2 linked regions of the Anolis sagrei genome follow. The main gene of each other region encodes a partner of the protein of the gene in region 2 in a complex. Links are inferred from orthologs where the notes say so. Each region holds a gene or a part of one and is shown on either strand. Other genes may lie near its edges.

What was found.
Region 1: TERT (region 2) and GAR1 share a complex: the UniProt entries of both Homo sapiens proteins name them as parts of the telomerase holoenzyme complex. The link is inferred for Anolis sagrei from reciprocal best matches to the Homo sapiens genes TERT and GAR1.

The regions. Positions count from the first base shown.
Region 1 is NC_090025.1:31,125,936-31,133,802, forward strand, and holds the start of GAR1 (H/ACA ribonucleoprotein complex subunit 1), read left to right. Parts: upstream 1-4,851; 5' UTR 4,852-4,906; exon of another isoform or gene 4,907-4,960; intron 4,961-7,867. UniProt on the Homo sapiens protein: Required for ribosome biogenesis and telomere maintenance. Part of the H/ACA small nucleolar ribonucleoprotein (H/ACA snoRNP) complex, which catalyzes pseudouridylation of rRNA.
Region 2 is NC_090024.1:105,810,235-105,817,245, reverse strand, and holds the start of TERT (telomerase reverse transcriptase), read left to right. Parts: upstream 1-3,998; 5' UTR 3,999-3,999; coding exon 4,000-4,221; intron 4,222-6,726; coding exon 6,727-7,011. UniProt on the Homo sapiens protein: Telomerase is a ribonucleoprotein enzyme essential for the replication of chromosome termini in most eukaryotes. Active in progenitor and cancer cells. Inactive, or very low activity, in normal somatic cells.

The DNA.
Region 1 (7,867 bases), on a different chromosome or scaffold from region 2:
TATTTTATACCACTTTCTTTACAGCCCAGTGGTTTTATAGAAAGAGAGGAAAATCCAAGACAATCTTAGTAGGCTTCACCTCCCTAGGGATCTTATTTTAAAATGTTGGAAGCTGCTTTGGGTCCGAATTGTGAGAGAAAAGCGGCATATAGGTAAATAATAATAATAATAATAATAATAATAATAATAATTTGAAACACAACAAGATGAGTCCACAGCAGACACTCTGCTGGCTGTTGAATTGGATCACATGTCGGACACTTCCCAAGTGTCTAGGACTGTGTGATGTATCGGCAAATAATGCGTGCAGATCCCAGTAAGGTGGCCTTCTGCAGCTGGCAGATGATAATTTTGTCAGCGCCAATTGTGTTTAAGTGCAGGCCAAGGTCTTTAGGCACTGCACCCAGTGTGCCGAACACCACTGGACCACCTTTACTGGTTTGTGCAAGAGTCTTTGCAGTTCAATTTTTAAATCCTCATATCGTGTCAGCTTTTCCAGTTGTTTTTCTGCAATCCTGCTGTTACCTGGGATTGCGACATCAATGATCCATACTTTGCTTTTTAACACGATTGTGAGGTCAGGAGTATTATGCTCCAAAACTCTGTCTGTCTGAATCCGGAAGTCCCAGAGGAGTTTGGTGTGTTCATTTTCTGTAACTTTTTTCGGCTTGTGATCCCACCAGTTCTTTGTCGCAGGCAGATGGTATTTGTGGCACAAGTTTCAATGAATCATCTGAGCAATGGTGTTGTGCCTCTGCTTGTAGCCTGTCTGTGCGATCTTCTTGCAGCAGCTCAGGATGTGATCTATTGTTTCATCTGCTTCCTTGCAGAGTCTATATTTGGGATCTGTTGTCGACTTTTCAATTCTGGCTTTGATGGCATTGGTTCTAATGGCTTGTTCTTGGGCTGCCAGAATCAGGCTCTCTGTCTCCTTTTTCAGAGTTCCATTTGTGAGCCACAGCCATGTTTTTTCTTTGTCAATTTGGCTCTCAATTTTTCCCAGGAACTGTCCATGGAGAGCCTTCTTTTGCCAGTTTTCTCTTCTGCTCTGGATTGTGTTTTTACGGTATTCCCTCTTTGTCTTTTGCACTTTAAGCAGTTTACTACTATTGACTTCCCTCAACGTTGGTTCTTGACTGCCTTTCACATAATCTGCCAGGGCGTGTTTCTACCATTTGTTTCACTTGCAGAAGCCCTCTGCCTCCTGATTTTCTGGACAAGTAAAGTCTGTCAATGTCACTATGCGGGTGTAATGCGTAGTGGATTGTCATCAGTTTTCTTGTTTTTCTGTCCAGATCATTCAACTCTGCTTCTGTCCAGTTCACAATCCCACCAGTGTATCTAATGATGGGGATGGCCCAGGTGTTGAGAGCCTTGATCGTATTTCCGCCATTTAATTTGCTCTTCAAAACCTTTCTGACTCTTTGGATATATTCTTTGCTGACCAAATTTTTCACTTGACCATGCTTGATATTGTCCAGTTGTAGTATGCCCAGATATTTATAGGCTTCAGGCTTGTTGTACTTTATGGTTTGTCCGTTTGGCATCTCTATGCCCTCGCTTTGTGTAATTTTCCCTTTCTTTAATGCCACTGTGGCACATTCATCTAGGCCAAATTCCATACTGATGTCAGTGCTGAAGATTCTGACTGTTGGTCAGTGACTCGATTTCAGTTTCTGATTTTCCATAAAGCTTTAGATCATCCATGTACAACAAGTGAGAGATTTTTGGTGAATTTCTTGCTGTTTGGTAGCCTAGGTTGTTTTTATTTATTTATTTATTTATTATAAATTTTTATTGAATTTTATATAGTTACAGCGAAAGTGGGGGAATAATATAAGATAGAAAAGTAGCAAAAAAGTAGGTTATTTTTATTTATTTATTTGTTGTTGTTATTATTATTATTATGGCAGCGCTTGTGGGATGTTAAAATTGAATGGTATCAATTACAAATATAGATGCTGGGTCAAGATTAGATCTTGAATCACTTGTTTTGGCATTTGCCTGAGAAACGTGCAGCACTAAAACAGGAGGCAGGATGTGAGTGTTTACATTAGGCTTGCTCTTAATGTCCCCAAACATCTGCATGGAAGACAGATCTTTGAGCATTAGGCACGAGGGGCCGAAGAGGGCTCTGTGACCAATTTTAGCTGAACACACCCACAAAGCCCCCACTTTCCAATTCCTACCACCCTATACATTGGAAAGTAAACAAAATTTGGCTACCAGTATTTAAAAAACTTTAAAATCAGGACAGTAAATAAAGAACAACACTCAAAAAAAGGGGGATTCCAGACAAGAAACAATCAGGGTCAGCTAATCACCTCCCAACAAAGGATTCCCCAGGCAGGAAGCAACCAAGCTTTGAAGCTGCAATGCTATTCAATGCAAATCAAGGTGATCAATTACAACATTTGCACTTGCCTCAAACAGACAAGAGTTCTTTCTCCAGCACTGGACAATCCACAGATACAGAAAACCCACTTGCCTAATTTCCAACAAACCTCTGAGAATGCCTGCCGTAGATGAGGGTGAAACGTCAGAAGACAATGCTCCTGGAACATGGCCATACAGCCTGGAAAAACTCACAGCAACCCAGAAAATCAGACAAGTTTATGTGGAATGACTCTGAAAACCAGGGTTTGAATCCTCACTTAGCTGTAGGAACCGACTGTGATTGAGGGCAAAGGTAAATCTCCTGTGAACCAACTTTGCCAAGAAAACCCTATTTTAGAGTCATTGCAGGTTGGAAACTGTCATAACTCACCTTCTGGAGTCAGATGATTGAGAACAGAGGAGCCAGATGTCCAGGCATGTGCATCTCCTGATGATAGGAGAAAGCAGGGAGCTTTGCACGAAATGGAGGATGTTGAAGATATGCCACCATCCTTTTCTTAACAAAAATGAGGTAGAGATTGTGATGATCCTGGCAGCTGTGACATAGCTGATTAATTAGGCACCTGGTGTTTTGGAGGTATTTGACCATAGAATCTACCAGCAGCCCTCCCCCATTTTTGTTCTTCACAGCTATCTTATCTATGTGATTGATAATACTCTCCTGGCATTTGTGTTTTCTTAACCTTAAACTGGCTATATTTTTGACAACTCTGTTTACTGCTTGTTGGCCCAGGAGATGCCTTGATGTTTTGATGTGTTACCATCCTTGTAGGAGGCTTGTCTCATGTCCTCATGTGAGAAGCTGCAGCTAACAGATGGGAGCTCACCCCGCTCCCTGGATGCGAACTTTTGGTCAGCATTCCTGCCGGCACAAGAGTTTAACCCATTGAGCCACCGGGAGGCATCATGACCATCAACCATGTGTTTGACTAGTCTTACATTATTGAGTGACACAGATTTGGAAGCCCTCCAGATGTTTTGGATTTCAACATATCCTTGGAAGCATCCATGCGGATCCCATTTCAAACTACGTCTCTACGTCTGTCTCGGCATGGGCAAACTTTGGCCTTCCTCCAGGTGTTTTGGACTTCAACTCCCACAATTCCTAACCGCCTAAAGTTTGCCCATGCTTGATCTAGACCAGTGGTTCTCAACCTTCCTATTGCCGAAACCCCTTAATGCTGGGGTCACCTCATGTTGTGGTGACCCCAACCGTAAAACTATTGCTACTTCATAACTGTCATTTTGCTACTGTCAGGAATCATAATGTAAATATCTGATATGCAGGATGTATTCTCATTCACTGGACCAAATTGGGCACAAATACTCAATATGCCCAAATTTGAATACTGGGGGGGGGGGGGGGGGGTTGATTTTGTCATTTGTGAGCTGTAGTTGCTGGGATTTATAGTTCACCTATAAACAAAGAGCATTCTGAACTCCACCAACAATGGAATTGAACCACACTTGGCACACAGAATTACCATGACCAACAGAAAATATTGGAAAGGTTTGATGGGCATTGACCTTGAGTTTTGGAGTTGTAGTTCACCTACATCCAGAGAGAACTGTGGACTCACACAACGACGGATCTGGACCAAACTTGGCATGAATATTCAATATGCCCAAATGGGAACACTGGTGGAGTTTGGAGAAAAATAGACCTTGTCATTTGGGAGTTGTAGTTGCTAGGATTTATAGTTCACCTACAATTCAAGAGCATTCTAAACCTCACCAATGACAGAATTCTCACCCAGAATCCCCATGACCAACTGAAAATACTGTGTTTCCTGATGGTTTTTGGCAACCCCTTTAACACCCTCTCGTGACCTGGCAGGGGTCCCGACCCCCAGGTTGAGAAACACTGATCCAGACATTATAGTGCTATATAATTTTTTTTCTGAAATCCAAAAAAGGCAGCAATTTTAACCTTATTTCTACCTAAGCTTTATTTGCTTTTACTTGCATTACACAGTAATAATTAATCTAATCAATGGCATTGACTAAAATGGCATTGGCTTTTTATGCTGCTGCATCACACTCTTGGCTCGTCTTGTTGGATAATCTGAAACATGCCTGGACTGAATTAAATACTTTGCAACTCTTGCATTCTAACGTTCTGATGCTAAATGAAGCAATATTTGTAGTTATTAATGCTTTTGAGGACTTGCCTTTAAAAAGTGGGCTTACTGTTTAGTGTCAGCAACTCATTTCTGATTTGTTGCAACCCTAGCTGGGTTTTTGTTTTGTTTGTTTTTAAGGCAACATTGACTTAAAAACTTCTCAGTCTGCCAAACTTTGGGAATATAATCCTGGCTGAAAGTGGAACGAGAGCCGGAAGTGACAGTCGCTCTCAAAAGACCTTACCTCTTTGATCATTCTAGCCAATAGATTCGCAAAGGGAGAGAGGACTCGCCGACAAGCGGAAGGAGCGTGTCGAGAACCCAGCTTGGGATTGGCCGGGCAGCGGGAAAGCGACGCTGTTCGTTGACGTCATCAGAAGCGGCCGGTGCGTGTGTGTTGGGGACCACGTGGGAAGCCAAAGGGGATCTTTGTGCTCAAGGTACCAGAAAAGGGTATTTTTTTGGGGGGGGGGGTGGGGGGGTGGTGTCATATATTCATTGATTTCTACGGAATTTTGCCATTCCTTACTTTAAACTATTTAGCTGGATCCAGTCTAGAGGTGCGTCCACATTGTTGAATTAATGTGGTTTGACACCACTTCAACTTCCATGGCCCAATGCTGTGGAATGCTGGAGTTTGCAGTTTAGGCCTCTTCCACACAGATGTGCAAAATCCCAGATTATCTGCTTTGAACTGGAATATATGGCAGTGTGGACTCAGATAACCCAGGGCCCTTCCACACAGCCCTATATCCCAGAATATTGGGGCAGAAAATCATAGAATCAAAGAGTTGGAAGAGACCTCATGGGCCATCCAGTCCAACCCCATTCTGCCAACAAGCAGGAACGTTGCATTCAAATCACCCCTGACAGATGGCCATCCAGCCTCTGCTTAAAAGCTTCCAAAGAAGGAGCCTCCACCACACTCCGGGGCAGAGAGTTCCACTGCTGAACGGCTCTCACAGTCAGGAAGTTCTTCCTCATGTTCAGATGGAATCTCCTCGCTTGTAGTTTAAATCCCATATTATCTGAGTGTGGATTCGGATAACCCAGTTCAAAGCAGATATTGTGGGGGTTTTCTGCCTTGCTATTCTGGGATATAGGGCTGTGTGGAAGGGCCCCCAGTCAAAGCAGATATTGTGGGATTTTCTGCCATTATATTCTTTATTATAGGACTGTGTGGGAGGGCTGCTCTCTTTGACAGAGAAGGCTATTGCTGTTGTTCATTCGTTTCTGGCTCTTCGTGACCTCATGAACCAGTCCATGCCAGAGCTCCCTGTCGGCCGTCACCACCCCCAGCTCCTTCAAAGTCAATCCAGTCACTTCAAGGATCCCATCCATCCAACTTGTCCTTGGTCAGCCCTCTTCCTTTTTCCTTCCTTTTCCCCCAGCATAATTGTCTTCGCTAAGCTTTCCTTTCTTCTCATGATGTGGCCAAAGTACTTCATCATGGCCTCTAAGGCTAAGGACCTTGTAAAACTACAACTCCCATGATTCCACAGCATTGAGCCACGGGAATTAAAGGGCCCTTCCACACAGTCATATAACCCAGAATATCGTGGCTGAAAATCCCACACTATCTGCTTTGAACTGGGTTATTTGAGTCCACACTGACATATATTCCAGTTCAAAGAAGAAAATGTGGGATTTTACTCAGCTGTGTAGAAAGGGCCAAAGTGGTGCCAAACAGAATTAATACCACTCTGTAGACCAGGAGTTCTCAAACTTTTTAAACAGAGGGCCAGATTATAATTTGGAAAAAAGATGAATGAATTCCTATGCACACTGCACATATCTTATTTGTAGTGCAAAAAACACAAGCAATAAATACAATAATTAAAATGATGAACAATTTTAACGAAATATAAACTTATTAGTATTTCAATGGGAAGGTGTTTTTTTTTTTTGTTGTGTCAGGAGCGACTTGAGAAACTGCAAGTCGCTTCTGGTGTGAGAGAATTGGCCGTCTGCAAGGACGTTGCCCAGGGGATGCTCGAATGATTTGATGCTTTTATCATCCTTGTGGGAGGCTTCTCTCATGTCCCCGCATGAGGAGCTGGAGCTGGTAGGGGGAACTCATCTGCCTCTCCCTGGGTTCGAACCTGCGACCTGTCAGTCTTTAGTCCTGCCGGCACAGGGGTTTAACCCACAGCATCACCGGGGGCTCCTTCAATGGGAAGTGTGGGCCTGCTTTTCACTGATGAGATTGGGTTGTTGTTGTTGTTGTGTGTTTTCAAGTTGTTTAAGACTTAGGTTGACCCTGAGAGAGGGCCGGGTAAAGGACCTTGAAGAGCTGTATCTGCCCCCCGAGCCTTAGTTTGAGGACCCCTGGTATAGACACACATTTCAACCCAAGAGATCAGGGTTTGAGTCCCAGCTCAGCCCTGGAAACCCATTGGGAGGACTTGGGCAAGACATGCTCTCTAAGGCTGGATCTACACTACCATATGATGCAGTTTGAAATGGTCAGTGTACTGTAAACACATATAATGTATTTTAACTGCATTGAGCTGCATCTACACCAGGTCTGGGCCAACCTTGGCCCTCTAGGTGTTTTGGATTCCAAATCCCACAGTTCCTAACAGCTAATAGGCTGTTAGGAATTGTATGAGTTGAAGTCCAAAACACCTGGATGGCCAAAGTTTGTTTATGCCTGGTGTACTCTATTTGTCTACCCCTACATGACTGAAGGCACACAACAAAAACAACATTTGTCTGTGTTTATATATACATACACATATATGGAGTTTATTTCCAAAAGGTACCAAATCCACCTGAACACATGCTGAGGATGTTCATTCTTTTGCTATAAAATGCAATTTCTCGAACCCTGCACTGAGGTGATTTTGTTGTTTTGATATGTACACAATATTCCAAGCATAGCCAACAATGGGTTCAGTACCTTTTGGAAACAATGTCCACATATATATGCAAACACAGGTCATCCCAAAGAGTATACCCCCTTTAACAACTAATAATAGCCATGGTGATGATGTGAAGGCTAAGTAAATACATTCATCTCAAAGAATGAATGTTGTTACAATGATTTAATCAGAATAAAAATTCCCACTTGGCCATAGAAACCCATAGAGGAAGGCAAAGGCAAAATCTCTCTAAACAAATATTGCCCATTGTGATAGATGGATAGATAGATCAGGCTTGCCGCAATTCAGAAACGAAGTGAAAGCACTCCTCTTTCTAACGTTTTGGTATTTCAATACAACAAATTCCATTGTACACCCAATCTTGATACCTAGCAAAAGCTGGATCCGCACTGCCATATCTACATATCTATGTTTTAATTTAATTCCAAGCTGCTGGGAATACTGGAGTGCTACCTATTTGTT
Region 2 (7,011 bases):
GTTGAAGTTGAGAAATGATGCATTCTGATACATACATTTGATCCATTCTACAGTTATGAAGCTGCTGAGTTCTGGAAAATAGTCAAGAGAGATTCGCAAAAAAGTTTAGGTTATTTATTTTATTTATTTATCGTGTCATCAGCAACCATACCATTGTATTACAGTTCTAACAGAACAAAACAAACACACAGATTAAAAACAAAAACAAAACAAAAACACAGATTTTGCAAACTTGGTAGTTGGTTAAATGTCCTTTGACCAGTATCTGGCCACTTGGAGTGCCTCTGGTGTTGCCGCAAGAAGGTCCTCCATTGTGCATGTGGCAGGGCTCAGGGTGCATTGCAGCAGGTGGTCAGTGGTTTGTTCTTCTCCGCACTTGCATACCGTGGATTCCACCCTGTAGCCCCATTTCTTAAGATTGGCTCTGCTTCTCGTGGTGCCAGAGCGCAGTCTGTTCAGCGCCTTCCAAGTCGCCCAGTCTTCTGTGTGCCCAGGGGGGAGTCTCTCATCTGGTATCACCCATGGATTGAGGTGCTGGGTTTGGGCCTGCCACCTTTGGACTCTCGCTTGCTGGGGTGTTGCAGCGAGTGCCTCTGTAGATCTAAGAAAACTATGTCTTGATTTAAATTGTTGACGTGCTGGCTGATACCCAAACGGGATGAGCTGGAGATGTCTCTGCCTTGGTCCTTTCACTATTGGCTGCTACTTCCCGGCGGATGTCAGGTGGTGCAATACCTTCAGATTACGTGTCTTGACCCCACACTATGTGACCTTTTCCCAATTTCATTTCATCTATGAAGCAGATCTAGGCAAGTTGCGATTACTCTCCTACCCCAATAATTTTGGTTTATGTGTAGGGAATATTGATGATAATAATAATAATAATAATAATAATAATAATAACAATAATAACTTTATTTACATTCCACTCTTATCTCCCCAAAGGGACTCAGGGCAGATTCCAAACATAAAAGGCAAATGTTCAATGCCTGAATACAATACATCCATATTAACAAAATTTAAACAACCCAACATATAAACACGAATTATAACTTAACAACTAAAATTAAATAAAAGAAAAAAAACTGCCTGTTACGACAGACATAAGACAAAACATATAGCACGTGGAAAGATTACAAACCAGTGTGTTTACGATCCGAACCCCTTTCAAAGCCACGACTTATGCCGACTCCTTGAATTTCATAGGGTTTCTTCAGGTGGTTTTGCCACTTCCTTCCTCTGAAATAGTGCATTTGTTAACAGCCTCACATCCCTTCCTTAGCTTCTAAGATCAGATGGGATCTGGAGCAGCACTTCCCAAACTTTGGTCCTCCAAATATTTTGGACTTTGTGGTCCATAATTCCTGACAGCTGGCCAAGGTAGCTGGGACTTCTGGAAGTGGAAGTCCAAAATATCTAAAGGAGTAAGATTGGGAACCAACTGCTTTCAGGTATTTAGGTTCTTAGGGTCTCTATAATAAATGTATTCAATATGCGTATGTGTTTTTAACCATATAAAATCCAGATTATCAAATTTGAACTGGATTATTTGATTTGATAATCTGGATTATATGGCAGTGTAGGCCCTGCCTAGATTCTCCAACAAACTCTTTAACACTCCTCACTTTACTCCCTTTGCTTTCATCTTGTAATTCAATCTATTTTACCAAATGTATTTTAATTCAATCTAGTTTTCCTATGTTTTAATTTATTTTAGTTAACTGTTACAGGAGTTTTAGGATAGTGGTTAGTGTCTATTTTTGGTTTTTTTTTTTGTCTTTTATTGTTGGTTTGGTCAGTGGACTAATCAATAAACAGGGTTATCTGTCTATCATAGGGGCTCCTTGAGTGACTCTATGACCTTTTGCCCATTCATTCCTCTGAGACCCCTTCTACGCTGCCATATATTCCATGATCTGATCCCAGATGATCTGATTTAAACTGGATTATGAGTCTCTACTGCCAGATAATTTGGGATAAAATAATCTGGGATCACATCCTGGGATATAGGGGCAGTGTGGAAGGGACCCGAGGCTGGATCTACACTGCCATATAAATCCAGATTATCTGTTTTGAACTGGATTATATGCGTATATACTGCCATATAATCCAGTTCAAAAAGATGATCTGTATTTTATATAGCAGTATAGAAGGGGCCTCATATAATCCAGTTCAGAGCATTTAATCTGGATTATCTGTTTTTGATAACATGGATTATATGGCAATGTAAAAGGGCCCTAAGTATTTTTGTATTTTTAAGGACTCTGCTATTTGGGGGGAATTCCCAAATTTAGGACACTTCTACATTGCCATATAATCCAGATTATATAAAAAAAGTAATCCAGACTACATTCTTTGAACTGGATTATATGAGGCCTGCTGAAAGGGCCTCATATAATGAGGCCTGCTGAAAGGGCCTCTCTTTTCACATTCTCAGAAGTCCCCTTCAGGCTTGGAATGGCGGCATTCAACCCATGAGTTGAATCTCCCTGAAAACAGCTTTATTAGCTGCCAGCAAAAGCAAATGACAGCAATTGTGCTCAAAACAAAATCTGGCTACTAGTATTAAAAACTCTAAAATCATAACAGGTGGGAACCCCAGGTTTCAGCGGTGACCAGGGGAGCATTTGCACAGCTAAAGCTTGTGCGCCAGCTGCGCCCATACCTTGGGAAGTCTGACTTGGCCACGGTAGTCCATGCTCTGGTTACATCCCGTTTAGACTACTGCAACGCTCTCTACGTGGGGTTGCCTTTGAAGACAGCTCGGAAGCTCCAACTAGTCCAACGCTCGGCAGCCATGATTTTAACAGGAGCGGAGCGCAGGGAGCATACAACCCCCCTGTTGCGCCAACTCCACTGGCTACCAATCTGCTACCGGGCTGAATTCAAAGTGCTGGCGTTGGCCTTTAAAGCCCTAAACGGTTCCGGCCCTAGCTACCTATCTGACCGCATCTCTGCCTATGAACCCACGAGGAGTTTGAGATCTTCCGGGGAGGTGGGCTCTCCGGGGAGGTGGGCTCTTCCGGGGAGGGCTCTTCCGGGGAGGTGGGCTCTCGATCCCACCTGCTTCTCAAGCTCGGCTGGCGGGGACGAGAGATAGGGCCTTCTCGGTGGTGGCTCCTTGGCTGTGGAACGCCCTTCCTACGGACATTAGACTAGCACCATCTCTAATGGTATTCCGCAAAAAGGTGAAGACCTGGATGTTTGTGCAGGCGTTTGAGTAATTTAGTGCAATCTGGTAATGGAACATAGGAATGGAACAATGGACGACGAACCTGGACTACGCTTGGATGATGAGAAGATTGGGTACGGTTGTTTTTTGTAATAATTGTGCATTGTAATTGCTTATTGGTAATTTATGGATAATGTGTTAAGTCAATTGTTATATGTTGTATGGAACCACTGCTGTTTCTACTGTTTTTACTGTTTGTGAACCGCCGTGAGTCGCCTTCGGGCTTGAGATACAGCAGTATATAAGCAAAGTAAATAAATAATAATAATAATAATAACAGTAAATGGAGAACAACTTTCAAAAACAGGAGAACTCCAGACAAGAAACCATCAGGGACAGCTAATCACCTTTCAACAAAGGATTCCCCCAGGCAGTAAGAAGCTACACCTTGAAAACTCCTGGGCTAATCAATGCTAATCAAGGTGACCAATTGAAACATTCACACCAAATTTCCAAAATGAAGAAAACCAGAGACATTGGAATGGTGGGCAGAATGTGTATCCCATATATCTGTCACTTTCACTCATACCTGACACTGAGATTGCTGGTAAATAAAAGAAAAGAAATCGCTCTGAAGTAGGAGCAGAAAGGATGCTGCCCCTTTAAGGATTGCTGGACTGCGCCCCTCGGCATCCCTCACCCTTGCATATGCGGGCGTCGTACTTCAATGACTCCTGCCTGAAGAAAACAGAGGGCGCCGCGTTTCCCGCGCTTTTTCCAAGCCCGAGAGGGGGCGGGGCTTAGAGGGGGCGGGGCTTGGCCAGGCCATGGGGCGCCCGCGGGTGTGCAGGCTGCTGCGGGGCTGCTTCGAGGAGGTGCTGCCCTTGGAGGCCTTCGTGAGGCGCCTCCAGGAGAAGGAGGCCGAAGCCTCGGGGGCCCCGCTGGTCCAGGAGGGGGATCCCAAGTGCTTCCGAGTGCTGGTGGAGCGCTGCCTGGTGGGCAGGCCCCGCGGGGGGAAGGCGCCCCCGCCTCGCTTGAGCTTCCAGCAGGTAAACAGCCCTCTCCAGGCCCGCCCCTTGCCGTGGGCGCTTCTCCTCAGCACTGCCTGGGGAGACACACAGGGACCTCTCCCGCAAAAATACTCCATAGTATGCACACTGAGGCGCTTATAACTTGCCCTGGAAGGCTGCTGGCTCCTTCAGGGGAGCACAAGCTGCCCCCAAACATTTTAATACAAGCGCGTTTTCTGAGTTGTATGGGCAGTGGGGACATCCAGCTGCCAACCCTGGATGGCGAGGCACTACGTCCATCATCATTGGTAAAGAGTCTGGGAGTCCTTTTGGACCCTCTGCTGACGATGGAGGCCCAGGTATCCACCGTTAGCAGAACTGCCTTCTTTCACCTACGGCAGGCTAGACGGCTGGCCCCTTACCTGTCCAGCGACGACCTAGCTACGGTGATCCAGGCCACGGTCATCTCAAGACTGGACTACTGTAACGCCCTCTACATTGGCCTTCCTCTGTCGGTGATCCGGAAGCTCAAGTTGGTACAAAATGCAGCTGCTCAGCTTCTTGCGGGAACTCCGATGAGATGCCACATAACACCAAACTCACAACAGCTGCATTGGTTACCAATTGAGCACCGGATCACTTTCAAAGTGATGGTACTCACCTTTAAGGCCTTGCATGGTTTGGGGCCGATGTACCTCACCCCCTACCAACCCCAGAGATCCCTCTGTTCTGAGGACCAAGATCTATTGGAAGTCCCCAGTGTCAAGACCTTGTGTCTAACAGCAACCAGAAGCAGAGCCTTCACAGCAGTGGCACCATCGCTCTGGAATACTCTGCCACCCGAAGTCCGTGCCTTGTGGGACTTATCAGTTTTCCACAGGGCATGCAAGACATACCTATTTCGACAGGCCTTTGATTTTTGATATTGCCGTTTTTAAATTGTTTTAAACTGCTTTTAAATTTTGTTAGATTTTAACTATTCTTGTAAACTGCTCCGAGGCCCAGGGGAGTGGCGGCATATAAGTTTAAATAATAAATAAATAAGCATTCTCTCCTGACATTTCGCCCAGGTATCCTCAGAGGTTGTGAGGTCTGTTGGAAACTAGGCAAGTGGGGTTTATTACAGACTAGCTTGGGGACCCTGCGTGTCCTGGGTTATTTGAGAAAGTAATTGTGTATCAAGCTTGGTCTTTATCAGTTATTTATATACAGTGGTTTCAGGAAGTTAGTGAAGGTACTGCGAGTCCCATCATCTGTGGTCCATCCTCCTCCAAACTACACCAGGATGGAGGCTCTGTGAGCCAAGTTTGGTCTTCATCAGTCACAGGATGAGGGTCGCAGTGGTTTCAGTGAGTAAAGGTACTGCAAGGCCCATCATCCATGGTCCATTCCCCCTTAGAACTGCATCAGGATGTAGAGTGGGTCATGAGTACTCTGTGTGCCAAGTTTGGGCCTGGTTTGTGATTTGTAGAAAAGACTTAAAAAGCCACAAAATAAAAATTACAATGCATGTGCAAAACATGCAAACACACATATACACAAATGTTTTAAAAAAAGGTTGTCCCCTGACATTAAGTCCAGTCATGTCTGACTCTGGGGTGTAGTGCTCATCTCCATTTCTAAGCCAAAGAACCAGCGTTGTCCATAGACACCTCCAAGGTCATGTGGCCAGCATGACCGCATGGAGCACCGTTATCTTCCCGCTGGAGCGGTACCTATTGATCTACTCACATTTGCATGTTTTCGAACTGCTAGGTTGGCAGAAGCTAGGGCTGACAGTGGAAGCTCACACCGCTCCCTGGAATCGAACCTGCGATTTTTTGGTCAACAAGCTCAGCAGCTCAGTGTTTTAACCCATTGCACCACCGGGGACATACACACAAAATACATATACACAGACTGGACCACAGTAACGCGTGGTAGGGGACGGCTAGTAACATAATAAAATTCAACAGAAAGGGCAGGTCAAATGCACGAGATAAGATGTTAAAAAGTTGAAACCCTGGGTGAGATAGGAATAAAAGTATATTTATGAGGGAGGAGTCAGGGGGGCAGTGGGGTTTGGCTTTATTAAGGACAGGTTGACAGTGCATCATGAGGACAATTGTAGATGGAAACAAACAAAATGGGTTGAACGGTCACTCTCCAAGGGCACATAGGAATAGCCAAGTTTTTAGATCTTTCTTAAAGAAGCTACTCTGTTGGAGGCTTTTAAACAGGCTGGATGGCCATCTGTCAGGGGTACTTTGATTGTACATTTCCTGCATAGCAGGAGGTTGGACTAGATGTCCCTTTGGAGAGATGGAGGTGGGGTACAAAAATAAAGTTGTTATTATTTGTGGTCTACTGGACTGCAGATCCCATCAGTCCCAACCAGCCTAGGCAAAAGCAAGGGAGGATGGGAGCTGCAGCCCGACATCATGTTGTGGGCCACACTTGCAATACATAATTTAGGACCTGTGCCCCAAAATTTTAATGCCAATCCCGCGAAATCCTAAATGACAATGAATGAAATATAGTCATAACGTTTTTGTTCACTTCCAGATTTCTAGTCAGCAAGATGTCGTTGCAAGAGTCGTTCAGCGAATCTGTGAAAAGAACAAAAGGAATGTCTTGGCCTTTGGCTATTCTCTATTGGATGAAAACCATCTCCCGTTGCCCGGCATGCCAAATGTCTACAGCTACTTTACCAATTATACCACAGAAACCATTTTTCAGAGTATTCTCTGGGAGTTGATTCTGAACAGAGTTGGGGATGATGTCTTCATGTATATATTGGAGCACTGCTCTCTCTTTATGTTAGTGCCACCTAGTTGTTGTTACCAAATC